Macaca mulatta: one gene and its partner. The protein of the gene in region 2 interacts with the protein of the main gene of each other region in a biochemical or structural test. Links are inferred from orthologs where the notes say so. Each region holds a gene or a part of one and is shown on either strand. Other genes may lie near its edges.

Region 1 (14,964 bases), on a different chromosome or scaffold from region 2:
GGACCTGGTGATGTGGAGACACTTTGATGTTGCGGGAGACTCTGTCCCATCAGGACCTGGCCAGCCATGCATCACAGGTGTGCAGCGCAGGGGCAAGGACACTTGGGGACGACAGCAGACTGCAGCAGGTAGAGACAGTGAGAAAGACAAACTGGAGGTCTCAGGATCGGGATGTTGTTGGCGTGCTGACAAAGATTATCTACTTGGCCAGGCTCTGGAATCTTCTCCTAGGGTCCTCTGTGCCCTTTCTTATGAAATCCAGTTTTAGCAAGAACCCTAATTTGGTTTAACCATAATATCTGACCACCCTCAATGGTACCTGACTGGGTTCCTATCAGACCGTTTGCAACCAATGTCTGATCACCCTGCCTGCCTGCAGCAAGGACTCTGTGAGGTGGGTTTAGCCAGACCCCCCTCAGCCCTGATGTCTCCTCACAGTCATTCCCACCAATGGACCCCACACTGCTCCTCGGCTTCTCCAACCCCTGCCCTACTGTGTCGGGGTGGAGCCCCATCTCCCCTGAGGCCCCAAGGAAAGGGCTCCACACCCATCTCCATGGTCCCAATGAAAGATCTCCTCACCATGCTTTAGCAAGTGTCACGAGGAATTTTCCTTTCACACTGGAGGGTGGCCAGAGCAGGGGGAAGAGGTGGACATACGGAGACGAAGCAAACAAGCTGACACAAACTCACTTTATTCAACATTGAACCAGCCCACACGCTGGGTAGGTCAAACTCACAGACATCGCACCAAAGGCCGGGGACTCGGAAAGGCTGAAAGGCTTCATCTGGAAATAGGCACTGCTCACAAGCCCAGCTATACCCAAATCTCAACATCTGCCTGCATCTATGTCCCAGACTTTGCAATCCTGTCCCCAGTGCTGAGTTTCTGTCGACTAGACGAATTTATCTACACACAAGGATGCTGCAGGCAACTGAGCTACTGCTACGAGCTTTGCAAAATTCAACTACTAAAGGAAATGGGAAGAGAGAAAGAGCCAGAGAGAACAGCAAGATGAGACACCATGGCAGGGCCTGGAGATGCTAAATGGGGTTAGCCACCTGCCAGCCCCCTCGCCCAGGAAAAAGGAGAAAGAGAGTTCCTTCTACGGAGGCAGGTGGAGCACAGGGAGGGCTTCTGGGAGACACAGAGGCAGGGTGGGGGCCAGGAAGGGGGAGGTGGACAGAGCGACGCGGATAAGGCTGGGCGGGGCCCAAGCCCACCTCAAGAGGAGGGCTGCCTCCTCAGGAGGCATCAAGGTGCAATCCAGTCTTCCTTTCTCTTCCCTGAAGACCTGAGTTCCAGCCTTCACAGAGCCTCATGTGCGTTCTTCTTTCTAGATGTTAACCCCAAATTCGACACTCAATGGTGCACCTCAGGTACCTGCCAAGGATCTGTGGGCCCGCATGGAAGGTGCAGGGTCTGGGTCCGTGGATGACAAGGTGAGGGGCAGATAGGTGACAGAGGAAGGGCATGGCCCAGAGCTGCTGGGACTTATGGAAGATGGGCTGTGGCCAGGACTTCAGGAAGGGTCGGGCACAGGTCGGAAGGGTCCTCAGGTCCAGCCTCTACCGGGAGGTGTTTGTAGCCCCCAAAACACTCACGCCTCAGGGTGAAGGATAAAGGGACATTCTTGAAACACACAACTATATAGACGGACCCAAGGCCGGGCGCCTTCCACGCTTCCCTGACAGCCACACGCTGACACTTCCCAAGGAGATGAGGATCCATCCCCTCCTGCCTCCAACTCTGGGACTGCCGCCGGTTGGCGCCATCACTGCATGGGAAGGTAGAGGGAAAGACAGAGACACAAAACAACAGAGAAAGAGACACACAGAGGCAGAGACAAAGACAAAAGGAGAGAGTGAGAGAGAGCAAGAGAGAGTGCACATGAGACAGTGCATGAGGTACTGTCCTGAGCACAACCAACCCAGGGCCTAGCCCAGACTTCTGTCTCCCCAAGGCCAAAGCCTTGTCACCTATGGCTGGCACAGGCAATTGAACCATTCAAGGCCATCTGGGTTGCTGCGGGCTCTGGGGTTCAGGCCAGGCCCTGGGCAGAGGCAGAAGAAAAGCCCTGAGGCTGAGTTTCTTGCCTGCTTCTGCCTTCAGAACCCTAGGGCGGGGCAGAAGCCTCAGGCACTTGGGATACCAAGTGTCCTCCCTTGTGAAGGTCAGGGACACCTCAGACCCTTCTCAACTTAAAACCCCTTCCTATCACCTTCCTTGACCACCCACCCATTCCCAAAATCAGCCCTGCAAGGCCACGGCAGTGGGAGTCAGGCTGGGCTTTTAAGCCTTGACCTCGGGCAATGGCCCCCCAGTGGCTCGCTGCTGCCTACGTCCACCCTGGCCTGATGGTGGACAGACCCAGTGGGGATCCCACACCTGCAGCAGCATGCTGAGGCCCAGGTTCCGGTGCTTCTTCTCCAGCTCCGACACCGCCTGCAGCAGTGACCTGAACCGCTCAGTGGGGTCAGCCAGCTCGTCCTCAGGTAGCCCCTCCTCCTTCTCAGCCTCCTGCAGGAAGTGCTCCTCCTCCTCCACAAAGAAGGCCCGCAGCTTCTTGTAGTCAGTCAGTGCCTTCTTCCTACGGTCCATCACGTGTCCCTGCAGACAGGTGGCAGGAAAAGACCTGTGTCCTCGCCCACTCTCCCCAGGCGAAGGGGAACCTGTTCCCTCTTGAAGGAGTTAAGAACATGCCACTCTAAAACATGCTGCTCAGGCACGAGTGTGGTGTGGTTCACGCTTGTAATCCCAGCACTTTGGGAGGCCGAGGTGGGTGGATCACTTGAGGTCAGGAGTTCAAGACCAGCCTGGCCAACATGGTGAAACCCCATCTCCACTAAAAATACAAGATTAGCCAGGCGTGGTGGCACATGCCTGTAGTCGCAGTTACTCAGAAGGCTGAGGCAGGAGAACCACTTGAACCAAGGAGGCAGAGGATGCAGTGAGGCAAGATGGCACCACAGCACTCCAGCCTGGGCAACAAGAGCAAGACTCCATCTCAAAAAAAAAAAAAAAAAAAACTTATGTTTTTTCTCCCACTAATCTATCTTCCTTTTTTTTGAGATAGGGTCTCACTCTGTCACCCAGGCTGGAGTGCAGTGGTGCCATCATAGCTTACTGCAGCCTCAACCTCTTGGGCTTAAGTATCCTCCCACCTCAGCCTCCCAAGTAGCTGGGACCACAGATGCACCACCACACCTGGCTAATTTCTTAATTTTTGTACAGATGGGGGTCTCACTATGTTACCCAGGCTGGTCTCGAACTCCTACCCTCAAGCAATCCTCCTACCTCAGCCTCCCAAGTTGCTGGGATTACAGGCATGAACCACTGCACCTGGCCCTGTTAGTTTAGCTTATGTCAGTTTAATTCTCCGGCCCAGCCTGGGACCCTAAAAGGGGAGAAGTAGAGTTCTTTCTCCCTGACACTGCAGTGGTCAGCTGCACATGAAGACAGTTCCTCTCCCGTCTCCCATGGCCAAGGGGACAGTAAATCCTTGAGTGGCCCTGCTAGGTCTAGAGCCTGTCAGGCACGTTACTGTCAAGGCAGGACACACACCCATCTTGCCAGAAACTGTCCCTGCTGTGCCCACACCAGAACTCCAACAGCTGAAAACCATCCCATCAGCCTTCAACAAACAGCGTTCACACTTGCCACTCTTCAGCTGGTTTCCAGCCAACCCCTAACCTTGGAAACAGGAGAGCAGAGGAGGATGCTACTGTGATTTTACTCAGAGTCATGGATGGCTTCCACCTGGCCCTGGGCCACACAGGGCAGGTGACAGCCATAGTCATGAGAAGCCAAGGCTTTTGTTGCTGAGAGAGAATGCAAATGACAGCTGGGTGTCTGCTGGTTGGCTGATGCGGCACACTGCAAACTCCTTCCTTTGAATTTAGGTGGCTTCTCTCATCCCAGCATCTAAGCCACCAACCCCCAAAACAGGACAGATTGAAAACTCCAACCTAAAACCTGTGGGCAAAACAAGTCCCTTGGGGGTAACACAAGTTATTGAAAACTTGGAGGTCCCCAAAGCCTTCCAGCCTCACTTGCACTGGGCAGTGTTGACCACTCACAAGGCAAGGAGAAGTTCAGAGCAGCCCCCAAGGGCAGTGTGGAGTGCCAGGGGTCCGACTGGCATCAGGGACTCTGTGTGTCACCTGTCACTGAGTGAGGCCTGCACCTCAGGCCTGTGGAGAGTAGGCAAGGGCTCAGCACCACCGGGAACACAGAGAGTCTACCTCAGCCTCAAGCTGGGGTAAAAATGCGGGCCTCAGCCTCGAGGTGCAGCCAGTTACCCAAGAGCTGCTGCACCTTTGAAAATCACTCTGTCTTTCAGGTTAAAAGGAGGAAGTAGGAATTTATGAAACCCAGAGAAAATGGCACACAGATTTTTTACTACACATGAGGAAAAAGTCACCAAAGAGAGTTTAAACGACTGAAGAGCTTTACTTGTGAGTAACCTCAAAGAATCTAGTGGGATGTCCCTTTGCCCTTTGGGATGTAATGCTGTGGAAGGCACCCAAGGAAAGTAACACTGCTGTGGTCTGAATGTCTGTGGCCTCCCCAAATCCCCATGCTGAAATCCTCATCCCTAAGGTGATGGTGTTAGGAGGCAGGACCTTTGGGAGGTAATGAGGTTGTAAGGGTGGAACTCTCAAGAATGGAATCAGTGTCCTTAAAGGACCCCAGAGACACCCTTACTTCTTCCATGTGAGGACACAGTGAGAAGGCACCATCTATGAACCAGGAAGCGTTCTCAACAGACACAGAATGTGCCAGTTCCTTGATCCTGGATTTCTAGCCTTTAAAAAAAAAATGAGCAACTCTCAGATCAGAACAAGAGGACCACAGAAAGTTACAGATGTGTTTTAAAAGAAAAAAAAAATTAGCACTTTGGGAGGCCAAGGCAGGAGAATCGCTTGAGGCCAGGAGTTCAAGACCAGCCTGGGCAACACAGCAAGACCCCCATCTCTACAAAAGCATTCTAAAATTAGCCAGGTGTGGTAGCACATGCCTATAGTCCCAGAGGCTGAGGTGGGAGGATCGCCTGAGGCCAGTTCGAGCTGCAGTGAGCTACAAGCAGACCACTGCACTTCAGCCAAATGAGACTGTCTCTTGGAAAAAAAAAAAAAAAAAAAAAGAGTAAGTCTGATGCTGCCATCACCTACAGGTGAAATGTGAGGCGAAAAAGAGGCTTCCACTGACTTTGGTTAGATTCTATTTGAAAAATACAAACACATCCTAGAAAAATACCCTGAAACTCACTAAAGTCCAGAGGCCCCTCCTCCAACCAACCAGCTGAGCAGTTCAGAGGCCTGGCCTGCTTGGCCTGGTGGTCCCTTTGTCTAGAGCCCTGAGTCCCCGGTCCCCTCATTCCAGGCTGCCTCCAGGCCCCCCACTTGCCTTCCACACTGCAGCTGCTGACTCCGCCTGGCCATGCAGGTCCCGGGCGTCATTCAAGTCCTTTCTCATGATTTCCACAGACCCCTTGTTCTCCTGGAAAGAGAGGAAGGTCACCAGGGGTGGGCAGAAGGTCTCCCCCAACCTAGCCCAGTTCTGAGGGACATCACCCCAGCTGAATGCACACAGTCTGACCATTCCAGAGATAATCTCGAAGCCCTGTTGTCTAGGACAGGAACACACAGGCAGCCAAAAGGTTTCTTGGGCTTCACACCTATTCAGAAGGATCTGGGTGCTGGGGCTAAGGGGACTGTCTAGGTGGGTTTAGGAGTTGTGTGTCTGTAAGTGGCCCTGTTCAGTGTGAGTTCGGTCTGTACCACAGGTCTGCACAGCCTGCCCTACACCCTGCCCTGCCTGAGCCCGATGGGGGTCACTCTGCCTGGTGGCAAGAGCCCTCAATGCAGGAGGAGCGCCCAGAGGCACAGTCTGGCTGGCTTCCCCTCCCCTGTATTCAAGAGCGGGACCCCAGGCTGGCTGTTCTCTCCTACTCTGTATCCCCCAAACAACCCGCCATGGGAAAGGCTCCAGACTCCCAGACCCGTCGCTGCCAGACTCCCAGAGCGGGTCTCTGAAAGACGGGAGAGGGGACAGGCGGTGCAAGTGAGGGCTGGGTGGCCCGGAGAGCAGACAAGAAGGCGGGCCAGGCCTGTGGACATAGTGGAATACAGAGGGTCGAGAGGTGTGATGTCTTCCCCAAGGGAACAGTGAGTGGGGGAGTCAATCTGTGGGAACTAGAGGGGGGTCTATGAGTGTGAGGCAGGGCACAGCTAGTGGTGGGGACCACAAAGATGGACGCTGGTGGGGGAAGGACTTCGTAGAAGGTAGGGGGTGGGGAGATAAAGCACCGCCCAGCAGGGGACACCAAGATGGGGACGCGGACCAGACTCGGAAGAGACGCAGAAAACGTGGGGAGGCAAGCTGCAAGAAGGAGGGGCCCAGCACACGCTGGAGCGGGGACCCGTGGCGGTAAAGGGAGGGGGACAATCCGGGGACAGGGACAGTGGAAATGGGAAGGGCCCAGGGCTCAGGGGGACCGGGGCAGGGGCGGAGAGGCGCAGGGCACCGCCCGGGGCGGGGCACGGGACCCCGCCGCGCGCACCTTGCCGCGCAGCGCCTTCCTCCAGCGCGGCTCCCACTCGGGCGGCTCGGGGCCTGCAGCCATGCGGCAGGCGGCGCAGAGCGGGCCGGCGTCAGCGCGGCACAGCAGCTGCAGCGCGGCCTCGCTGGCCGGGCCGTCGCGCGCGGGCGCCGCGGCCGCCTCCTCGAGCGCCAGAAGGCGGCGGCTGAGCGGGGGCCGGCCGGGCTCCACTGCGCGCTGCCAGCAGTCGTCGGCGCACTCGGGGCACGGGAAGGGCCCGTCCTCCTCGGCCCAGAAGCGCACCACGCACGCCCGACAGAAGCGGTGGCCGCAGTCGGCGCGCACCGGCTCCCGGGGCGCGCGCTGGCACAGGGCGCAGGCGGCCTCGGCGGGGCCCGCAGGGAGCGCCAGGGCTGCGGACGGCGCGGTCGGCAAGGGTGCGGGAGCGTCTGGGGAGGGCCGGAGACCAAGGCGACCGGCGACCGGACGGAGACCAGCACCAGGAAGACGACGCCAACGCCGGCGACGCGCACGGGGCGGGGATCGGACCGCGGAACGCTCAGCCGACGAGATCCTGGCAGCGGTGTGCTGCAAACTGAGGTCCCGGCCCCGCTGCCCTCCACAGACAAGATCCTGGCAGCAGTGTACTGCATCCGTAATAAGTCCGGGCCGTGGTGGGCTCCTCCGCCCGGATCCTAGCGGCGGTGCACTCTTTCGCCTTGGTTTTGGCAACTATGCTCTCCACCTGCAAGGTCCTAGCAGCGTTGCACGTCACCCCGTAAGCCCTGGCAGCTGCGCGCTTCACTCTCCTGCCTGCGGACCGGCCCAAGTCGTATCCTGAAATGTTACTGGGACTGTCCCTTCCTACATCAATAACTCCTGTAGAAGAAGGCAACAAAAGTTTTATTTTTACTTGAAGGTTCCATTTTTAAAAGGTTGTTCTTGTAAGCTGCTAAGATCTGAGCTGCGCGTTTCCCCGCGGTAGCTCGCCAGCGTGGGCTGAGGACGGGGCGCGAAATGGCCTGCGTGGGCCTCCTTCGCTGCTCTCATGCTACACGGACCCGCCCTGCGTGGGCACTCCCTGCGTGCAAGGGCCTGCCCGCGTGGACGTGCCCTGCGTTCACCCAACCTTCAGGGATCTGCCCTTGAACGGGCCCTTCGGACGTGGACACTCGTATACGCCCACCCTGCGTGGGATTTCGCTGCGTGGACCCATCCCACGGAGCCTCTTCTCGCGCGACCTCCCTTCTTGACCTCTGGGAAGCAACCCTGGTAGTCCGCTGTCTCCTGGCTGGCAGGAGCTCTCATTCATTCCGTGATGATGCATGACAAAACAGCATTTGTTAGCTTTTCTTTCTTTTTTTTTTTTTTTTTTTTTTTTTTTTTTGAGACAGAGCCTCGCTAGTGGCGCGTTCTCGGCTCACTGCAACCGCCGCCTCCCGGGTTCAAGCGATTCTCCTGCCTCAGCCTCCCAAGTAGCCGGGATTACAGGCGCCCGCCACCACGCCCGGCTAATTGTTGTATTTTTAGTAAAGAGGAGGGTTTCACCATATTGGCCAGGCTGGTCTCGAACTCCTGACCTCATAATCTGCCCACCTTGGCCTCCCAAAGTGCTGGGATTACAGGCGTGAGCCACTGCGCCCAGCCGTTAGCTTTTCTTTTTTTTTTTTGAGACTGAGTCTGGCTCTGTCGCCCAGGCTGGAGTGCAGTGGCCGGATCTCAGCTCACTGCAAGCTCCGCCTCCCGGGTTTACGCCATTCTCCTGCCTCAGCCTCCGGAGTAGCTGGGACCACAGGCGCCCGCCACCTCGCCCGGCTAGTTTTTTGTATTTTTTAGTAGAGATGGGGTTTCACCGTGTTAGCCAGGATGGTCTCGATCTCCTGACCTTGTGATCCGCCCATCTCGGCCTCCCAAAGTGCTGGGATTACAGGCTTGAGACACCGTGCCCGGCTAGCTTTTCTTTAAAAAATAAATTTAAAGGAAAGAAAGAAGCCTTTGGGAAGAGCAATTTTGTGTTTTTGTTTTTTAATTATTTTGAAAACAAGCAAGCATCAAAAAAAAAAAAAAAACTGCAAGTTTTGCATTTTAAAAAATCTGGACCGGGCGCCATGGCTCACGCCACTAATCCCAGCACTTTGGGAGACCGAGGCAAGCGGATCACAAGGTCAAGAGATCAAGACCTTCCTGGCTCATGGTGAAACCCCCTCTCTACTAAAAATACACAAATTAGCCAGGCGTGGTGGCGCGTTCCTGTAATCCCAGTTACTCTGGAGGCTGAGGCAGGAGAATCGCTTGAACCAGGGAGTCGGAGGTTACGATGAGCCAAGATAGTGCCACCGCACTCTAGCCTGGCAACAGAGCGAGACTCTGTCTTAAAAAAAAATTTTTTTTTAATCTGTATTCCAAACAAGCGCAGGATCTAATGAGGTATTTTTGTCTTTGTTAAGATTTTTTTAATCGACTTGGAAATGCACTAAATGCCCGTGGGAAATATGAATAGTAAGCCGAGGTTATTTCTGTGTAGTAAAGATTAGAAGGCTTCCAGCAGAGCCTTGCTGATTTGTGGAGTCAACTAGAAACTTGCTGGAGAGAAAAGTAAAAAAATATAAAAAATGAGCAAACTTCATAATGAACTAATCTTGCGAATGAGAAAATATCAAAAACGATAATTAGAGGCAAATTGCCAAATTAGGAACATTTTAGCCACAAATATACAAAGAGTTTAAAATTTGGTAAGGAAAAGCACAATGGAAAATGCACCTTGTCGTGGGATTTTTCAAATCGCAGAAAAAAAACGCACAAATGATTGAACACACATGAGAAAAAAATGTACACTCTGCCCAGTTAAGAAAGAGGAAAATAAAACGAGACTCTTTCCACTATTAAGTAAGCAGACAAAAAAAAAGCAACTTGGCCAGGAGCCGTGGCTCAGGCCTGTAACCACAGCACTTTGGGAGGAGGATGGATCATCTGAAGCTGGGTGTGGTGGCGCACGCCTGTAATCCCAGAACTTTGGGAAGCTGAGGCAGGCGGATCACAAGGTCAAGAGATCAAGACCATCCTGGCCAACATGGTGAAACCCCATCTCTACTAAAAATACAAAAATTAGTCAGGCGTGGTGGTGCATGCCTGTAGTACCAGCTACTTGAGTGAAGGGGTGGCCTGCCCCTCCACACCTGTGGGCGTTTCTCGTTAGGTGGAACGAGAGACTTGAGAAAAGAAATGAGACACAGAGACAAAGTATAGAGAAAGAAAAAGTGGGCCCAGGGGACTGGCGCTCAGCATACAGAGGACCCACGCTGACACCTGTCTCTGAGTTCCCTTGGTATTTATTGATAATTATCTTTACCATCTTAGAAAAAGAGAAGTGGCAGGATAATAGGATCATCCTAGGGAGAAGGTCAGCAGTAAGATATATGAATAAAGATCTCTGTGACATAAGTTTAAGGAAAAGTGCTGTGCCTTGTTATGCATATACAAACATCTCCATAAACCTTTTTAGTGCATAAAGAGCAGCATTGCGCTAGCAAGTCCCTCCTTCAGCCCTAAGGCGGTTTTCTCCTTTCTCAGTAAACAGAACACACAATCGGGTTTTACACCGAGATGTTCCATTGCCCAGGGACAGGCAGGAGACAGATGCTTTTCTCTAGCTCAACTGCCAAGAGGCCTTCTTTCCTCTTATACTAGTCATCTTCAGCACAGACCCTTCATGGGTGTCACGCCAGGGGACGATCAGGTCTTTCCCTTCCCACAAGGTCGTATTTCAGACTATCACATGGGGAGAAACTTTGGACAATACCTAGCTTTCATAGGCAGAGGTCCCTGCGACCTTTGGCAGTGTCACTGGGTAGTTGAGATTAAGACAATGGTGATGAAGGGAGAGAAGGAGGAAGGAAGGAAGAATGGGAAAAGAGAGAAAGAAGAAAGGAAGGGAAGGAAGGAAGGAGAAAAAAAAGAAAGAGAACGGAAGGGAGGGAGAGAGGAAGGGAGAGGAAGAGAGAAGAAATGAGGATATGTATATCATATCACTATTCATTTTGGAGGGAAAAACAAAACCTTGAAGGTCCAATACTGGGGGCATGGCTTAGTAAATGGTAGCAGCCATGAACTTGCACACATGTGCATTAGAGACTTTTGAAAGTAGACATTGGCAAAGATTGTTGCCTGAAAGCCTCTCTTCCTTACCACTAGCAGAATCCACATTGTGTGGTGCTAAGGGAGGAGCACCTTTGTTTTGTGGTGTGCGTGTGGTGTGAGCGTGGTGTTTTGTCTAGAGGAAACATGGGTGAGGCACAAAGTAAGCCCACCCCATTAAGGAACTATGTTGAAATTTTTCAAGAAAAGGATTTAAGGGAGACTACGGAGTACTATGACACCAGGAAAACTTAAAACTTTGTGTAAGGTAGACTGGCCAGCGTTAGAGGTAGGTTGGCCATTAGAAGGAATCATGGACAGGTCCCTTGTTTTATAGGTACGGCACAAGGTAACCTGTAAGCCAGGGAACGCAGACCAGCTTGTTTCAGATCCCCCGCCCCCAACACACGGTGGTTGAGAGAACAGAAGCATAAGCGGCTGGCAGAGGCAAGGAAAGACCAGCAGAGAGAGAGAAAGGAAAGAGACAGAGAGGAAAAGAGGCAGAGAGAGAGAGAGGAAGAGACAGACTAAGAGGGCGTCAAGGAGAGAGAGAAAGGAAATGTAGCAGGACAAGCGGCAGACAAAACTCCTCAGACACCGAGTTAAAGAAGGAAGGGGTTTATTTGGCCGGGGGCATTGGCAAGACTTCAGTCTCAAGAGCCGAGCTCCCTGAGCGAGCAATTCCTGTCCCTTTTAAGGGCTCACAACTCTAAGGGGGTGCATGTGAGAGGGTCGAGATTGATTGAGCAAGCAGGGGCTATGTTACTGGGGGATGCATGCACCAGTAATTGGATCGGAACAAAACAAGATAGGAATTTTCACAGTGTATTCCTATACAATGTCTGTAATCTATAGATAACAGAACCAGTTAGGTCAGGGGTCGATCTTTAACTACCAGGCCCAGGGTGCGGCGCCAGGCTGTCTGCTGTGGATTTCATTTCTGCCTTTCAGTTTTGACTTCTTCTTTCTTTGGAGGCCGAAATTGGGCAAAAGACAATATGAAGGGTGGTCTCCTCCCTTATTCCCCTCCTTTGAGACTCTCACTCATTTTATTAGTGGGAGTTCTTACTTTCATTTTCACTACCCATGTCTTCTTGCAAGACAGATCGATAATGATTTATATAGTACATTTGTGCTGAGGCATTTTGGTGAACTAAGGTAGCGATGAAGCTTTTTATCATTCGAAGAAGTAAAGGTATCAAACAAGGGAGCGGTAAGTAGGTTCCTATTACTATTATAACTCTTATTATAAGGGTTTTAAATCCTCCTAGCGCTGAGAGTCATTTTGTAAACATGGCCCCAGGATCATATCTATGCCATACTTGCACGGGCACATGTGCCAGTTTTGTCATATCTCTAACCATGTTTTCAACTACTTGCCCTTAATTATCTATGTGTAGGCAGCAATTAGTAAGGTTAAATTTCCTACAGATCTCTCCTTCAGCTGCTAGCAGGTAGTTGAGAGCTAATCTATTTTGATAGATAGCATTTCTCATCTGAATTTCTTGCTGAGCCAGAATAGTCAAGGCTCTGCCGGTTTTATTAGTGATTACTTCTAAGACAGCTTGTAACCATATGGTTCGGTTGATCATGTAAATGGGGGTCCGGTATCCCCATGAACCATCTTGTGCCCAAGTAGCAGGCCTATAATATTGTATGATTCTCTCAGGGGGCCATTTATCATTTTTTTTCAATTTCTTATAGCTATGCTTCTCTTTTCAAGGGAAGCATAGATAGGGAAGCCCAGGAGTTCGCCTGTTTTTATGGGCAGTAGGAAGAAAGGTGGTTTAATAGTGCCAATAACACAACTACCTGCCCACTGGTCAGGTAATTTGGCATAAGCTCTATGCCCACATAACCAGTATAATCCAGTGGGGACTGTCCAGTCCCCGTGGGACTCTGGGTGGGTTCACACAGTTTGCAACTTTGGGAATTTGCTAAATGGATTTCTCTCTGTGTGATTTGAACTCCACCAAGTGACTGTTTCTGTGGTACCATTATACAGTTTCTGTCTTACACAACTAAGTCATCCTACGGGCTGAGTGAATTCTTTTCCTTTTCTAGCTATGCAATATTATCCAATAATTGAGGTTTTAGGACCCAGAAATTATCACGGTGATTCTTTTGAACCGGGAATTCATCAGGAACTGGGTCTGTAGACCCTAATTCTCAGGCTTCCCATGGCCATTGATCTCCCATTATAGTTCCTCCACATACATAACATGAAGTGACATTGAGAGACTGGGCTATATACTCAGCTAATTGAAAAAACAAATTTCTTGTTTTTCCTGGAATTTCTGGTACTGGTACATTTAGTTCATCATAGAAAGTTTGAAACACTGGTTCAGGAGAGCGTTTGTACACTTCTCCTCGAACCAAGATATTTACTCAAGGATCCACTCCGGCCCCATCGATTCCTAATGTCACACGCTCCCCTTTTTTCCAGCGAGGATCAAGGGGATTGGTTATTACTAGCTCTAAGGGGTTACATTGTCCCTTAGTACAGGAAGGGCCATTTTTTCCTTTCTGAAGGTGGACTGGATCCTTTTCATCATTTTTTTATTTTATTTTATCCAAGTGGCCTAAATGACACAAAACCAGTATTTACATTTATTTTCACACAGTCCTAATTTATGACAGATGTACTTATTTTCTGCAATGTAGCCTCTTTTCTAACTAAGAACCACACCTTATTCCTTATTACTGTTAATGACAGCACAGGCATCAAATTTGAAGGTGACTTGTTTGGGCAACCTTTTGTTTGTTTGTTTGTTTTGGCTAACACTTTACTCATATCATTTATGAGCTCCCACCAGTCCTTAGTCCTTAATCTTATTTTAAGAACTGTGGTCATGGGAGGCTCAGATGGGTCATAACACACATTCGGTTGGTCATTTCCTGGGCTACATACCTTGTATAGAATAATATTATACAAACAACTTATTTTTAGAGTTCCAGTACACTTACAATAACCATAAAATAATAGGACCATAACAACCTTTTGTCCTACCTCAGTGACTTGATATATACACTGGGAACAGCCCTCAGTCTGAGGAAGGTCAGTTGAAGTCCTTACTGTACAAGTCCAAATTTTAAGGGAAATGAGTCCCGCAATGAGTTTCCTCATGCTTCGGCCGTGCGTGGACCAGTCAGGTTCTGGGTGTGACTGGAGCAGGGCTTGTCGTCTTCTTCAGAGTCACTTTGCAGGGTTGGCGAAGCTGCTCCCATCCGTGTACAGCTCCCAGTCTACTGATGTTTAAGGATGGTCTTGGAGGTTGGACCTGCTAGAATAAATTGAGTCCAACACCTCTACACAGTTATGTACAACTGTGCTCTCTGATACCGGGAACAAGGTGGTGGGGTTTAGGGTGTTGCAAACTTCAATGGTTATGTGGGGATTTTCACATAGCAAGCTTTGGTACTTGGTTAATCTAGCATTGTTAACCAATAACCTTTGGTATTTATTAAAGTTACCACAGCATGGGGGGTGGGCTTTGTATTCAGGTTTTGCCTAAGGGTTAGTTTATCTGCTTCTTGTGCTAACAGGGCCTTTGCTGCCAAGGCCCTTAGACCTGGGGACCAGCATTTGGAATCTCTGTCTAGTTGTTTTGAGAGATAGGCCACTGGCCTTGGCCAGGCCCCACAGTCTGTGTGAAAACTCTAACTGCCTTTTTTTTCTCTTTCTGACACATAGAGTGTAAAGAGTTTTGTCAGGTCAGGTAGCCTCAGGGCTGGGGCTGACATGAGTTTTTCTTTTAATTCATGAAAAGCTCATTGCTATTGGTTGTAATAAATATAGTTTATCTAATCTACATTTTTATTAACTGTCACCTACTAAAATATTGACTCAAATCCTGCAGCTATTTTATTTCAAGCTTTAAATTGATCTGCTATTCCTCGTGGGAATCCAATTGCGTCTAAATAGGCATGAGAGTCGAAAGACCCATAGGGGGCTTCTCTCGCTTTATGATGTCTTATTATTTTTTTCCTTCTAGTTGATGAAATGCCAGGGTGAAAGGGATAGCCAATTGCACTAAAGTACAAGTGCCACTCCAGTTATTCAGCAGAGTGCCTAGTAAAGGTCCACCACAATACCACCACACATCCGCTCAGGGATGAACAAAGGCTGACTGATTGATAAGCTCTTGAAAATTCTTAAGCTCACTGCATCCTTTCAAGTCTCCAAGGAATGCTAAGTTTCCTCCCTGTTGTGAGAGACAGGAAGTAAACCTAGTGTTGGGAGACAGAAGCTGGATGGCCCTCGGGGGTTGAACTGCAGGGACTT
Region 2 (15,101 bases):
GGGGAGCCGGGGGCAGGGGGCCCATACCCAAGCATTCTAGTTCTACCTGAGTGGCTCTGAGCTCAGCTCCCCTGCATATCCCTCTTCCTACCCCCAGTCCCCCAGCAGGACCCCTCTACCCCATCTGTCCCCATGAGAAGCTGCATGCCCTGCAGGGACCTGACTAGATTTGCCACCACAGCCTCTACACCAATCTGGCCATGGCACAGCCAGCTCAGCGCCCAGGCCCCTACCTTTGAACTTCTTCAGCATCCCTTTTAAGACAAAGGTCTTGAGAGAAACATTCCAGACTTTATTCTTCATCTCAGAAGAGACTGTGGTTGGCTTGGGGCCAGGCACATTGCTACACCTGCAGGACAAGGGCTCTGAGAAGGGCCTGTCTGCACAGTTTTACTCCCACAGGCTGTGACAATTAGGATGGCGAGGTCGTCTTGGCAGGAAGAGGTAGAAGAGGGACAGCCGGACCTCGTGCAGGAAAACCCATGGCCAGGCAGGTGGGCATTCGTCTCAGAAGGTCCCCGGCAAGCAAATCGGGGGATCAGGAGGTGAGAGGCCAGGGGACAGGAAATAAAGAGAAGGCTCAGTGAAAAGAGAAGAGGCAACTTAGAGAGGCTCCAGGAGCTGTGAGGTCACTCACCTGCTCAGCGTGCTTTTGAATTCCTGGAAGGAAAGATAGAGGAAACCAAATCAGCATCAGGTAACCTCCATTCACCTCTGAGGAACAAAGCTTGCCCCTCGCTGTGCCTCCAAGATGTAAGTGGTAAGCAGGTGTGCCATGCCTCACTGCCTGCATGGACTTAGGTGACAGCAACTTGCAGTGGCTGCTGGCTGCAGGGTGTCTCATCCACGTGGTGGACCTCTCACACTTTGCCACAGCTCTTCAAATGCTTTCTTTCTATCTTTGCTGCTTTCTTTATTACAGAATCATCACTGGAGCTATCCCATGGGACCCAGTGCTGCCTGTGTCCTGGAAACCACCTGAGGAGGTCACAGCCCTTATGCACCTCCTGCTCACTCAGCCCAGTAGTGACTGTTATTAACCCGTCTGTGGATTGTGAAGTTTATCTAGTGGTTTATAACTTTTTTTTTTAGTGAAATAGAATAGAAAACATCAAAGTGCATACGTGTAGCAAAGGTGAGTATTATCTTCTGAGACTTTTGTCTCAAGCATGCGATTCTGAAATACGATATATATTATTGTGGCTCATAGTCAAGAAAGTGTTAATCACATCCCTCTAGACCTCCAACCCCAGGAAAATCAGGGCACTTCCCTCCAGTCCCCTTCAGCTCCAGATCGTGTGATTCTCCTGAACCCCCAGGACTGATACTGTCCTCTAGCTGCCGGTCCTGATGCTTTCGGACAAATGACTTGAGCCTCTGGCTAAGCCAGACTTACCTGGAGAAAGTCAAGGTCAGGCTTTTGAGCTGTCTCCTGGATCTGGCTGCTGAGCTTGGACAGCTGGGTGATCTCAGCACCGAGCTGGGCCAGGTTCTCATTCTGCTTCTGTGCCACCTCCCGGGACAGTTCCTCCAGGCGGCTTAGCAGCCGGCCCTCCTGCTCCACTAGGAAGGCCCTCAGCGCCTGGAACTCTGCCCCCACCTTCTCCTGCTCCGCTGCCATCTGCTTCTGTCCCAGGAGGAGAATTGGAGAGGTAGGGGACTTGAGCATGGAGACATAACATTTGGCCAGTGGCCTGAGTCATCCCATAGGGCAAGGCTTCATCCCTGTCACTGCTGGGGGATCAGAGACACACCCACCTATGCAGGCAGTGCATGCTCTATTTTCAATGTCCCAGCTCCGAACAAGCTGTAGTCTCAACACGTGCTCTTTTCTCCCTTGCCACAGATGTGCCCACGCGTGTCTGTGGACCTGTGCTCCACCACCTAAACCAAGGCAGCATCATACTCCCCCCAGAACTACACCAAGTGGCAGTTTCCTCACTTGAAAAGTAGAAGGGATAAATTAGTGCCTCCTGGGGCAACCATAGGATTAAACTGAGATTGCCTTTTCCTCCTTAAGCACGTTAATTTCATCACCCTCAAACTTTTACTCTTCACTTTGTTTTTAAAGGCCATCTTCCCTGTTTAGCAGTTATAATGGTAACACATGCTCAAAATACAAAACTTGGGAGATGTAGGAAAGTAGAAAGAAGGAAGAAAAGTCCGATGCCAGTGACCAGAGGTAGCAGCTCACCCCCAAGGAACTAAGTGAGAATATGCTGTGTGCAAGCTTGATATTCTATTCTTTCCGTTAACAGCATACACAAGATTTTTTACTCGAGTTTTCAGATGCAGACTCATGCCCTGATCTCTTGATTTTTTGTGGGAACACACGTGTGGTACTCAGTGTGTCCCACCAGGAAGTTTCTCTTCCTTAAAACTCCTGGGCGGAGGAAGGAAGTCCCGGGAAGCTGGGAGACCTGGGTTCAGGTGTCGCACAATGCCCCCACCTTTCCTTCAGCTTCCAGGCAGGCTGCAGTAGCCCGGAGAGCCTTATAGGTATTAACTCCCTCAACCCTGACGGCAGCCCAGTGAGGTGGGTGCACTTCCCCCCAAGTCTTTCAGGTGAGGAGACAAAGGCAGACACATCACCGGGAAGTGGTAAGCCAGGCTTCTAGGCCAGGGAGCCAGAACGCAGAGTCTGAGCTTCTGGCAGCTACATCATATTGCCTCACAAGGAAATAACATAAGTGAAACAGTATTTGCCAAAACACTCTACACCAGGGTTTCCCAACCTTAACGCAGGTGACATTCTGGGCCAGATACTCCTTGGTTGTGGGGGGGCTGTCCTGTGCCTGGTAGGATGTTTAGCAGCCCCTCTGGCCTCTACCACTAAATGCCAATAGCATCCGTATCCCATTGTTGACAACCAGAAATATAGTATCTCCAGACTTTGCCAGATGTCCCCTGGGGTAGGAGTATTTTCAAATAAGAGTATTCCTTCTCCCTTTTATGTTGCAGCAATAGTTGGACTCTACCTCTGATGTTTCATTAAGCAGGGTATTTAAATGATACGAGCATCGTAAATCACAGAAGTATTTTCTCACTGTAAAGAAGAGGTGGAGCTCGCACCTGTAATCTCAGCACTTTGGGAGGCTGAGGGGGGCGAAGTTAGGGGAGGAGGTTGCTTGAGCCCACGAGTTCCAGACCAGCCTGGGCAACATAGGAGACTACCCCCAACCCCAGCTCTACAAAAAATAAATTAAAAATTAGCCAGGTGGAGTGGTGCACACCTGTAGTCCCAGCTACTCAGGAGGCTGAAGTGGGGGGGTCGCTTGAACTACTCCAGCCTTAGTGACAAAGCGAGACTCTGTGTAAAAGCAAAACAAAACAACAACAAAAATGAATGTGGGGGTGATGGATGGATGTTGGGAGCGGACAGAGGTGGAAGGTGTTAAGCAAGGCCTGGGGACTCCGGTCAGAGACCATGAAGCTGCCACCGGTGCCTGGGAAGGCCCTCTGGTTCCTGGATGTCAGCCAGTGGCGGAAGAGCTGCGCTGGAAGTTGTTTCTCCAGCGGAGGAGGGATGAAGGTCTGGAGGGTGAGCTCTTCATCATGGAGGGAAGTGAGTGATTGGGTGGGAAGGTCTGGGATGCACGCTGGATGCAGGCACCACAGATATAGTTGAGGGTCTGGAAAGGACCCTAGGGTGTCTGAACTCCAGGCTCCTCCTCCACCCCTCCTGACATTGAGGATGGGAGGGTCCTCTAGTTCACCTTCCTCCAATTCCCTGCTTTGACAGGCCCTATTTCATTCTTTTTTTTTTTTTTTTTTTTGATGGATTTTCACTCTTGTTGCCCAGGCTGGAGTACAGTGGCGTGATCTTGGCTCACTGCAACCTCTACCTCCCAGGTTCAAGCTATTCTTCTGCCTCACCCTCCCGAGTAGCTGGGATTACAGGCAATGCGCCACCACACCCGGCTAATTTTGTATTTTTAGTGGCGATGGGGGTTTCTCCATGTTGGTCAGGCTGGTCTGGAACTCCCAACCTCAGGTGATCCGTCCGCCTGGGCCTCCCAAAGTGCTGGGATTACAGGCGGTGAGCCGTGGCACTCAGCCAATCCTTTCCTTCTTTCAACACTTATTTACTGAGCTAGGAACTGAATTTGCAAGGTAGAAAATGACCGATGGTGATTCATGTTTGCTTATCTTAACCAAAATTAGTCCCCATTTCACTTTCCTGTTCTACTCTAAGGAAGATAAAATATCATTCCAACTTGGGGTAGAGGCAGATGCCAGTATGCAAGACCCTGGGCTGTGCAGCAGGGGCTACTGTCAACTCAAGACCCCAAACTGCCTCACTGTGCCGGAGCCATGAAGCGGCTGACACCCTCCAGCCCCTTCTCCCTTAGCCTCAATTTCAAATAAAAAAACTCAGAAAATGAAAATTTTTTCACTCCTCTTTTGTTGATAAAACATCCCATGAGGTTCTTTATCGTATTAAGAGTCCCATTTATGGAATATTCATGTTTCTCTGCAGAAATATTAATGTGTTCAATTACAAGATGCTTCCACAGGCCCTAACTGGTATGTTATGTAATATCAGAGTGACTGTATGTCCTGATTCGCTGGGACAGTTCCAGTTTAAGCCAGTTGTTTTGCAATAATTATTTTTAGCACACCTTTTCACTTTAAAAAGCTCTGCTTTTACAGTAATTATATGGTCACCCTATGTAACATGCACTCTTTTATTTTTCTGAAATCTATTCTGCGGTTCCATAGCACACACTCCAACACCACACACACTGAGCCCTGGTGCTGCGTAGGCCTCTATAATCTCCCACGGGGTGCCAGGGGGTGCCTGGCTCACCAGGAGCTCCTTGCTCTCCTTCTCTTCCGTGGACCGGGACACCTCATAGTCCTCCAGTTCCTTCTTCAAGACCCTCAGCCTGGACTCCAAGAGCTCCTGTAGGTGAAGGGAAACAATGTGAGGTGGGGGGGAGGGGATTCTGGAAACCCCCACCTCTGCCTCCTGGAGCCAGCCAGGAGAAAGGGAAGGCCCTGCTCACTGAGGGGGAGGCCGGGTAGAAGTCTGTCTACAGGTTGCAGGTTACACTGCGAGGGGACTCTGAAGGTCTCGGGATCTTGCGTCCCCAAAAGCATCTGCTGGACCAGCCAGACTGAAACACAAGCCTCCAGCAGCCCTACCCCTAGTCGTCTCCTCTGCTCTCCGCCCCACCATCAGGAAGCCCTGTGGGTGGGAGAGTTGGAGCAGGATAGGTGAGCAAGGAGAAACTGGTGACTGCCGCCCGAGCCTCCCCGCCCCGCCCTCACCCCTGCACACACCCTCGCTGAGGCTCAGCGAGAAAATAGCAAAGAAAGGGCGCTCAGAATCGACAGCCTTGGCACAGTCAGACGGCTCTCGGTGCTGCTTGACCCAGGAGCCCCCTCCCTGGACCTCTTGGCGAGGTCCTCCCACTCAGTTCCACGAGGTGGGGACTTTGAGCAGAGCCCGCTTCAGGGAAAGAGATAAGAGTGGGGGCAGCGGCTGCCTGGCTGTGCCGGAGACGTCCCGCGGGCGCAGAGCTGCGGAGACGCAGACCAGGCTAGAGGCTCTGAACAGACAGGAAAAACATCGCCAAGTCCGCGGGGGACGTCGCGCAGGCAGCCCAGTGTCTGGCCCAGAGGGAAACGCAGTGGGGGTGGGGTGGGGGTATTGGTGATGTTCGGGGTGACAGAGAACCGCGCTCAGCCGGGGGACCCGTGCTGGGCTTCCTGGAATAGGAGAAAGAAGGGAGGGCTCACCCGGGCCTCCTGATCGACAGTCTGTTCTCTGCACCGCGTGCGCGGGAGCGCGGGACCAGGGCAGGGGGTCCCGGGGACCCACAGGGGTGGGTGCGGGCTGCGCTCACCTTGGCGTCCTGCACCGCCTCGTCCAGCGGCAGCACGGCGTGCTCGCGGTGCTCGCGGGCGCGGTCGCACACCACGCAGATGGCGCGTCCGTCGTCCTGGCAGTAGAGCTTGAATGGTTCGCCATGCTGACCGCACCGGGCAGCCGCTGCCCCGGCCGAGGGCGCCTGGGACCCGTGCTCTCCCGGGGCGGCCGCGGGCAGGCTGAAGCGCCGAAGGAGCGTGGCCACGGCGGCCAGCTGCCGGTTGGGCCGCAGCTGACTGGGGCGCGCGGGCTCGCGGCACTGCGGGCAGGGCAGTGGGAAGGGCGGCGCGCGGGTCACCGCCCCAACAATCCCCGCGCCCGGGCGCTCCCAGCAGCGCCCTATGCAGGCGCGGCAGAAGCTGTGGCCGCACTCGACGGACACCGGCTCACGAAAAAGCTCTAGGCAGATGGAGCACGTCGCCTCGCCCTGCAGCTCTGCCGCCAGCGCTAGAGCCTCGGCCCCGGTGCCGGAGCCGGTCCGCGGCCCCACAGCCGCCATGCGCGCTCTCCGCGCTCTCAGATCTGGTAGCGCCTGGGCGGCCGCTGGACCTCACAGGACGCGGGTCGGAGCCCGACGTCCGAGCTGGCCGCCGAGTGCCCACTGGGAGAGGAAGGGCGGGGCTGCCACTGGGCAGGCAGAGACTTGAGCCCAGGGCGCGCCCGGCTGGGAGCCGGGAGGGGAGGCGCACGTTGACTACAGGCCCGAAGACACTGGGCCATTCAAGCGCGGGACAGCGCCCCGCGCCCCGGACCTGCGCTCCACCAGCCCCCGCCTTGGCCAGCGGCCTCTCCCCGTCGCCCCAGTCGCTCAGCCTCTCCAGGCCGCCCCAGCCTGACCCAGTCAGCCGCGGGAAACGGGCCGCGACAGGTGGGCGCACAAACCCTGCCGGGAGCCACTCCCGGTTTCCGACCGAGGCCGACCCAGCATCTCGGAGCAAGGGCCTGGCGCTCGGGCCACGGTGTCAGGTTCCCCTAGCGCAGGTTCGCCCCGGCCCTGAACTGAGCTAAATTTAGAGACTGGAACCTGGCCCTGTCCCCTCACCCTCAAGCATGGCCTTGTATCCACTCCATTACCTTTTCTGCGACCGTCCTCTCCCTTCTTTACTCTTTACTTAATATTTGAACAGATAATACATATATACTTTCCCATTTTATTCAGTATTATTTCACCCCCCCACATACAAACCTCAGCGCTCTCTTGTCCCCCAGCTGTCTCCACAGCCCCTCTGCAGAACTGCCTGTGTTACCCGCTTCCACACCCTCTCTCCTTGTTCACTCTGGAGGTCGCTTGGATCAGGCTTTCGCCCGCACCCTCCTCAGAAACTGGCTTGCCAGTGTTACCGGGAACTCCAGCAATTCTCACCCAAAGGCGAAGACCTCGCCTCACCTCCCCCCTTCCCGACTTCCCTTCTCAGGGCTGTGTCCCCGACCCTTCCTGCTGTTCCTGAACTGCGTGGCCTCTGCGCTGGCTGTTCCCCTTGCGTGGACCTCTTTTCTCCGACCACCTGCATGCTCCTTCCCACCTCATTCAGGTCTTGCTTCAAACGTCTCTGCCCACGAAGCCCGCCCCGAACGCGCACGCTGTGTAAAGTGGTCTCTCAGCGCGCTCCCCTCTCCGGGCTGGCTCTGTGCCCGCTCTCCATCTCCTCTGGAATGTCAGCTTTAAGACGGACTGTACCCGGTTTGTTCACGGCTGAATCCTGTTTTTAGAGCAGTTCTTGGCAAGCTCAGTAAAGTTTTCTCGGATTAAACGTGGTTCAGAATTCGAAAGATGAGCCGCAGTTCACGGTGAAAAGTAGGCCCTTCACCTGTGTCCCAGTTCTTTCTTCATCCCGAGCAATCAACTTTACAATTCTGGATTACATTAATCAAATATTCCGTATTTTATCGCCTCGACCCCCTGTTTTAAAAAACAAAACGTAGCATCCTGCACAATTTTCCCTTCTTTTCTTTTTCAGGTCACAGTTCAGTTTTGGCATCGTGCCTGATGATTTTCTCTCCTTTTTCCACCGCTGCTCCCAGGTGCTTAGCCGGGCCTAATCCTCTCTCTTGGAATCTCTTGGTCAAGACCCGCTGGTCTGGAGTCAGCGGAGGACCCTGGAACAACTCTCGGCCCTGCGATCCCGGGTTTTTGCAGCAGCTGAGACCCAGCGCACACCAGTTGTCATCCGCTCCCGATGCCCTGAGCTAAGCGACGACTAGGGGCAATCTGGGAGAGCCTCAAAACGTGGACGGGGATGTAGCTCAGTGGTAGAGCGCTTGCTTTGCATGTATGAGGCCCCGGGTTCGATCCCCGGCATCTCCAGTGTTCTTTTGCACATCCAATTTTTATTCTCGATTTTCCTTTCAAATTTTGAAATCCAGCGTGTTCGCAGAGCGCCAGGAAAAACCCAGAAGGTAGAGTCTGCGGGGTGGAGAAAGACCGCGGCGGCCCCTGCCCTCCTCTGGGCCCCATTAATTGTCTTTAAAAATCCACACGGTACTTTACCGGGTGCGGTGGCTCATTCCTGTAATCCCGGCACTTTAGGAGGCCGAGGCGGGTGAATCACTAGGTCAGCAGTTTGAGATCAGCCTGACCAACAAGGCGAAACCCGGTCTCTACGTAGCCGGGCGTGGTGGCAGGCGCCTGTAATCCCAGCTACTCAGGAGCCTTTGGCAGGAGAATTGCTTGAATCCAGGAGGCGGAGGTTGCAGTGAGCCGAGATTCCGATACGGCACTGCAACCTGGGCGACAGAGCAGGACTCTGTAAAAAAAGGGAAAAAAAAAAAAAAAATCCACACGGTGAGAGCTCCAGTGGCGTCAGGATGCACGTTTTTCCATCTCCTTGCCGTGAGCTTCATCGCGGGTAGAAAATGGCTTGATCGCTGGTAGGGTAGAAGGGGCAGAAAACGGACGTAAGTGGGAGGGACAGTCAGGCAGGAACGGCAGAGTTTGAATTTCCCGGGAGCCGAGGCTCTTCAGTAGTTTTATCACACTCCAAACAAATCCAAGTTCAAACCCACAGTTGAATATGGTCCCAATGTAATCTAGAATGAAAAATTCTTTAGGCGGAGTTACCGGACGCCCGGCTAGCTCAGTCGGTAGAGCATGAGACTCTTAATCTCAGGGTCGTGGGTTCGAGCCCCACGTTGGGCGTAGTTGGTCGTTTTACTCCTAAATCTACGATTACTGGCCATACCTGTAAAACATTATAAGCCGACCAACCCTTAGGAAAATAATCTGCTCTGAAGCCTTTCACTTCTGTGTGTGAAATACTCTTGTAGGCGCTGCATGTTCATTACCCATTATCTAGCAGTACAATTAGGGTTTCAAACTGTGGTAAAATATGCCCAACAAAATTTACCACTTTTTAACTGTACAGTTCTGTAGCATTAAATACGTTTAAATCGTTGTGCATCAATCTCCTTTTTCATGTTTCCCAGATGAAACTCTGAACCCATCCAACACTAACTCTCCATTCCCCTCTGCCCACAACCGCTGACAACCACCATTCTACTTTGTGTCTATGAATTTGACTCCTCTAGATACGTCATGTAAGATGAATCGTACAATATTTCTTTTTTTAATTGTCTTATTTCATTTAATGTCTTCAAGATTGATCCTTATGTAGCATGTGTCAAAATTTCCTTCCTTTCAAAGCTGATTAGCATTCCCCTGCACGTATATACCACATGATCCATTCATCTGCCAATGTACACTTGCTTCCTTCCTCCTTTTGGCTACTGTGGATAATGCAGCTATGAACATGGGTGTACGAATATCTGTTTGAGTTCAGGTTTTCTATTTTTTTAGAGTACACGTCACAAAGTGAAATTACTGGGTCATATGGCATCTCTATGTTTTTAAGGAAGTGGTATACCATTTTCCACAGAGGCTACATGCACCACAAAATGAGCTTTAAAAAACATCTTTCGGCCGGGCGCGGTGGCTCAGGCCTGTAATCCCAGCACTTTGGGAGGCAGAGGAGTGACGGATCACGAGGTCAGCAGATCGAGACCATCCTGGCTAACACGGTGAAACCTCGTCTCTACCAAAAATACAAAAAAACTAGCCGGGCGAGGTGGCGGCGCCTGTGGTCCCAGCTACTCGGGAGGCTGAGGCAGGAGAATGGCGGGAACCCGGGAGGCGGAGCTTGCAGTGAGCTGAGATCCGGCCACTGCACTCCAGCCTGGGCCACAGAGCGAGACTCCGTCTCAAACAAACAAACAAACAAACAAAACAAAACAAAACAAAATACAACACAACACAACAAAAAAAAATCTTTCGACCGGTCACGGCTGTAATCTCAGCACTCTGGGAGGCCGAGGCGGGCGGATCACCTGAAGTCAGGAGTTGGAGACTAGCCTGGCCAACATGGTGAAATCCCGTCTCTACTAAAAATACAAAAATTAGCTGGGCGTGGTGGCGCGCACCTGTAATCCCAGCTACTCGGGAGGGGGAGGTTGCAGTGAGACGAGATCGCGTCACTGCACTCCAGCCTGGGCGACAGAGCAAGACTCTGTCCCCAAAAATAATAATAATAATAATAATAATAATAATAATAATAAATACAAACAGGCGTTTTGGTGGACGCCTGTAATCTCAGCTACTCGGGATTCTGAGGCAGGAGAATAACTTAAACCCAGGAGGCAGAGGTTGCAGTGAGCCGAGATAGCGCCACTGCACTCCAGCCTGGCGGACAGGGCGGTATTTCATTAAAAAAAAATAAAATAAAAATAATTTCGGCTGAGCGTGGTGGCTCATACCTGTAATCCCTGCACTTTTAGGAGGCCGAGGTGGGAAGGTTGCTTGAGGCCAAGAGTTCAGGACCAACCTGGCCAACTACCTAGCCAGACCCTCATCTTTAAAATAAAAATTAAAGAACATTAAATAATAAAGCAGAATTCAGTGAAAAGTGTTTAACTCCCCCTTAGGTGACAATTTCAATTTTATATTTTTGTACATATTCTTCCAGAAATTTTGATGCAAGTATAGTTTTTTGGGGGATGGGGGGAAGGCGGGGGACAGAGTCTCTTAATCTGCCACCCAGACTGGAGCATAGTGGGAGATCTTGACTCACTGCAACCTCCGCCTCCCAGGTTCAAGCAACTCTCCTGCTTCAGCCTCCCTAGTAGCTGGAATTACAGGCATGTGCCACCATGCCTGGCTAATTATGTATTTTTAGCAGAGACGGGGTTTCTCCATGTTGGTCAGGCTGGTCTCCAACTCCCGACCTCAGGTGATCTGCCCGCCTTGGCCTTCCAAAGTGCTGGGATTACAGGCATGAGTCACCGCGCCCGGTCTATTTCAAAGATCTTTCTATTTCAAAACATAGAAAATATCCTCAATCTTTTTTTACAGCTGCACAATATTCCCCTGTAGATGAATCATCTTTTATTTAACAGATGACTTATGGATGGGCATTTACATTGTTTCCAATTTTTTTGTTCTTATGATCAATGCTACAGTTAAGCATGTAGCAACTGTCATTTTGCACTTTTGCACTTTTATCTGTGGAGGTAATTGCCAGAAGTGAGATTTGTGGCATCCAGGTTTATGTGCAAGTAATTTTGTAAAAATAGATAAATCACCCTGCTACAGAACCTAGTCTGATATGACCTCCCACTAGCCATGAATGAGATTGCCTGTTTCTCCACGGTCTTGGGGGAAATGGGCTGCCTGGACAACAAATTTAAACGTGTGACTCCCCCACTTAAAATTGCTGGAGTCTTTCACTGCCTGCCTACAGGATAACACCCATTGAAGAGCCTACAGGGCACCACCTGGCATGAAGAAGGACCTTCCCCCGCCCCTTTACATCACACAAGAACGTACTCAGATAAAAGATTTTGAAGAGTACAGTGTCACTTTCATTTATGGTTCTTAACCCAATTCTGTGTGACAGCGTTGTGTTTTCTCTTTTCAGGCCTGTTTCTGAAGAGGCTACCGTGTTCTCTTCACTTGCAAAGCCAGGACACCATTAGAAAGGCCTGCTCAGTTATTTCTTACTCTGCACATCTTCTTCCTTGGACAGGAAGAACGAATCCAACCAGACATAAGAAATAAAATGTATATGTCATTTTCCATTTGGTCTTGGTGTCCTGTGGGGCATGTATAAATTATTAGAGCACAGATGTGTTTGCTGAAGTGTCTACAAGAATCATTACATATAATTTATATGTAAATTATTAATCAAACTTTTCCGAATGTTTTCATTTAAAAACCTCATTTGAAACAGAAAATTATCTTCAGGTTTAATATATTCATGGCTATTACCTAATCTAACTAGTCTAAACATATTCCAATATCTTTCTTTTTTTATTATTATTTTTTTTATTTTTTGAGACGGAGTCTCGCTCTGTTGCCCAGGCTGGAGTGCAGTGGCGGGATCTCGGCTCTGTCTCCCAGGTTCACACCATTCTCCTGCCTCAGCCTCCCCAGTAGCTGTGACTACAGGCGCCCGCCACCTCGCCCGGGTAATTTTTTGTACTTTTGGTAGAGACGGGGTTTCACCGTGTTAGCCAGGATGGTCTCGATTCCCTGACCTCGTGATCCGCCCGTCTCGGCCTCCCACAGTGTCGGGATTACAGGCGTGAGCCACCGCGCCCGGCCCCGGTATCTCTTTCTCTAGCAATCACTGATTTCTCTTTACTGAACTTGAGGAAGTCATTCTTTTAGGATCTCTGTGGTAGCATCAGGGGAGATGGCTCAGCTGCCATCAAATGCTCACCTCACTGTTTCATTGCTGTTTATATCATATCACATTGGATTAAAGGTGCAAGTCCCTCAGGTAGAAGGCAGGCCTCAGTCACATGCTAGTGTTCTGGGGAATGTGAGTTTCAGGCAAGAAGGAAGCTGAAGTGTCAACTGGAGCAACCTAACTCTGGAGGACTGCCTGAAAAAGGAAGAGTGGCCAAAAAGATGACCCAGAATGGCCCGTTCTTCCATTCTGTGTTGGGACCAACTGGAGTAGAGCCACAGGATATTCTGGGAAACGTCCCTGCTTATCACTGTCATTTGAGATGTTTAGTATCTAGGGGTGATGGGGGCACTTCTGAATATAGAAAAGAATACATGCTTGCTTTGTGATTAATATTCAATTTATTGGAGTTGTAAATGTTAAGGTCTAGTTTTTCTGAAGACTTTAAATTCAGCTTACAGATTTTTTTTTTAATAAAGTGATCAATTTTTGAAACAACAAGAACAATCCCTTTCATCAGTTCCCTCATTAACTAACTTTCATTAACTAAGGCTGTCAAACGGAGGCATTCTGAACGGCTAAGCAATTGGTAAATGTCACTTATACATTTCAAATCACAATTATTGATTTTATATTTATGAACCCTCATTGGCTGGGCAAGGAGGCAGGAGACTGAGGGATTAGGTCATAGCTGGCAGTGGAGAGCTGGTATCCGAACTTCATTTGCTCTTACAGACTCCCTGCTTTAACCAGTAACCCATAGCACCTTCAGAAATCCTGGGAGTATTATTTGAAATCTTCTGAATAAAGCTATGTACTCATTTATCTATCTTTCACAGTCCTGCACTGAGGCCTTACTGTGTGCCTCATTAGCCTCGGGGTCCTGTAAGATCGCAGATCCAATGTCCTCCACTCATTTTTCAATCTGTTTGCAAAAAAAAAATAAAACAAAAAAACAGCAACTGGTGTGGGTGGTCATGAGAATGCATATTCAAGGAAGTAGAGCTGTGGCTCCTTACCTTCCCACACCCAAGGTCTTCCCTCTTGATCTCACCAGTCTCACTCCTACTTCAGAGTCTTTGACCTTCCTCCGCTTCCTCTCTCCCAAAAGCCTCTTCTCCAAGATCTTTGGAAGGCTGCCTCTCTCTCTTCCTGGCTCAGCTCAGTGTCACCTGTTCTGCTGCCTCTTTCCTGGTCCCCTCTCTATAATGCCATCTTCTGTTGACCTGCCACTCTACCACATTGCCCTCTTTAATATTGTGGCAGCCCTTATCACTCTCTGAGGTGGTTTCTGTATCTGCCTGTTGTTTGTTATTTAAATCACCTGTCAGAAAGTGAACTCCAGTAGGGCAGGGACCTGATCTATCCCTTTTTACTGCAATATAAATGACTGAATAAATGAGGTGTCATTTTAACAGTGCACACCACAGGTTGGTTTCGAGGATGCAAGGAATCAATGCAAATCTAGCACATAGGACAAAGCCTAGAATGGTGGTGTGTGCCTTTAACCTCAGGAGGGCTGAGGCAGGAGGATTGGATTGCTTAAGCCCAAGAATTCAAGGTCAGCCCTAGCAACACAGGGAGACTCTAGACTCATAAAAGAAAATAAAAGATAAATAAATAAAAGGACAGTACCTAGTCCCTAGTAAGAGTTTAATCACACCTTTCTCTCTAAATGTTGAGACAAGATCACGCTCTGCTACCCAGGCCGGGGTGCAGTGGTGCTATCTTGGCTCACTGCAGCCTCTACCTTCTGAGCTCAAGTCATCCTCCCACCTCAGCCTCCTGAATAGCTGGTGTGGCACATGCCTGGCTAATTTTTGTATTTTTTTTTTTTTTTTTGTAGAAAATATTCTGTATTTTCTACTTTAAAATAGAAAAAAAGAGAGAAAATAATTTTGTGTTTTTTGTTTTGTCATGTTGCCCAGGCTGGTCTCAAACTCCTGGGCTCAAGCAATCCACTCACCTTGGCCTCCCAAAATGCTGGGATTATAGGTGAGAGCCACCACGACTAGCCTACAATTGGCTTTTGAGTGAGAGGTTAAATATCTAAGTAGAGGCCAGGCGCGGTTGCTCATGCCTGTAATCCCAGCACTTTGGGGGGCCGACGGAGGCGGATCGCGAGGTCAGGAGTTCGAGACCAGCCTGACCAACATGGTGAAGCCCCGTCTCTACTAAAAATACAAAAATTAGCCGGGCGTGGTGGCACGCACCTGTAATCCCAACTACTCAGGAGGCTGAGGCAGGAGAATGGAGTGAACCCGGGAGGCGGAGGTTGCAGTGAGCCGAGATCGCGCCACTGCACTCCAGCCTGGGCGACAGAGCAAGACTCCTCTCAAAAAAAAAAAAAAAAAAAAACAAAAAACAAACAAACAAACAAACAAAACCCCAAAAAACAATCTAAATAGATAATCTGGTAAGGAAATGATGTTGTTTATTTGAAAAAAAAAAAAAAAGAAAGAAAAAAAAAGGCCTGGTGCGGTGGCTCACGCCTGTAATCCCAGCACTTTGGGCGGCCAGGCTGGTGGATCACGAGGTCAGGAGTT

The links.
Region 1: the proteins of TRIM7 (region 2) and RNF187 interact in a test that uses a peptide from one of them, tested with the Homo sapiens proteins (2 studies listed by BioGRID, with this or other methods). The link is inferred for Macaca mulatta from reciprocal best matches to the Homo sapiens genes TRIM7 and RNF187.

The regions. Positions count from the first base shown.
Region 1 is NC_133406.1:86,246,326-86,261,289, reverse strand, and holds the start of RNF187 (E3 ubiquitin-protein ligase RNF187), read right to left. Parts: upstream 7,064-14,964; 5' UTR 6,957-7,063; coding exon 6,567-6,956; intron 5,504-6,566; coding exon 5,411-5,503; intron 2,612-5,410; coding exon 2,390-2,611; intron 1,779-2,389; coding exon 1,776-1,778; 3' UTR 1-1,775.
Region 2 is NC_133411.1:190,241,676-190,256,776, forward strand, and holds the start of TRIM7 (E3 ubiquitin-protein ligase TRIM7), read right to left. Parts: upstream 8,076-15,101; 5' UTR 6,375-8,075; coding exon 5,853-6,374; intron 4,907-5,852; coding exon 4,811-4,906; intron 4,389-4,810; exon of another isoform or gene 1,628-4,388; coding exon 1,397-1,627; exon of another isoform or gene 923-1,396; intron 661-922; coding exon 638-660; intron 350-637; coding exon 234-349; intron 1-233. UniProt on the Homo sapiens protein: E3 ubiquitin-protein ligase that have both tumor-promoting and tumor-suppressing activities and functions in several biological processes including innate immunity, regulation of ferroptosis as well as cell proliferation and migration.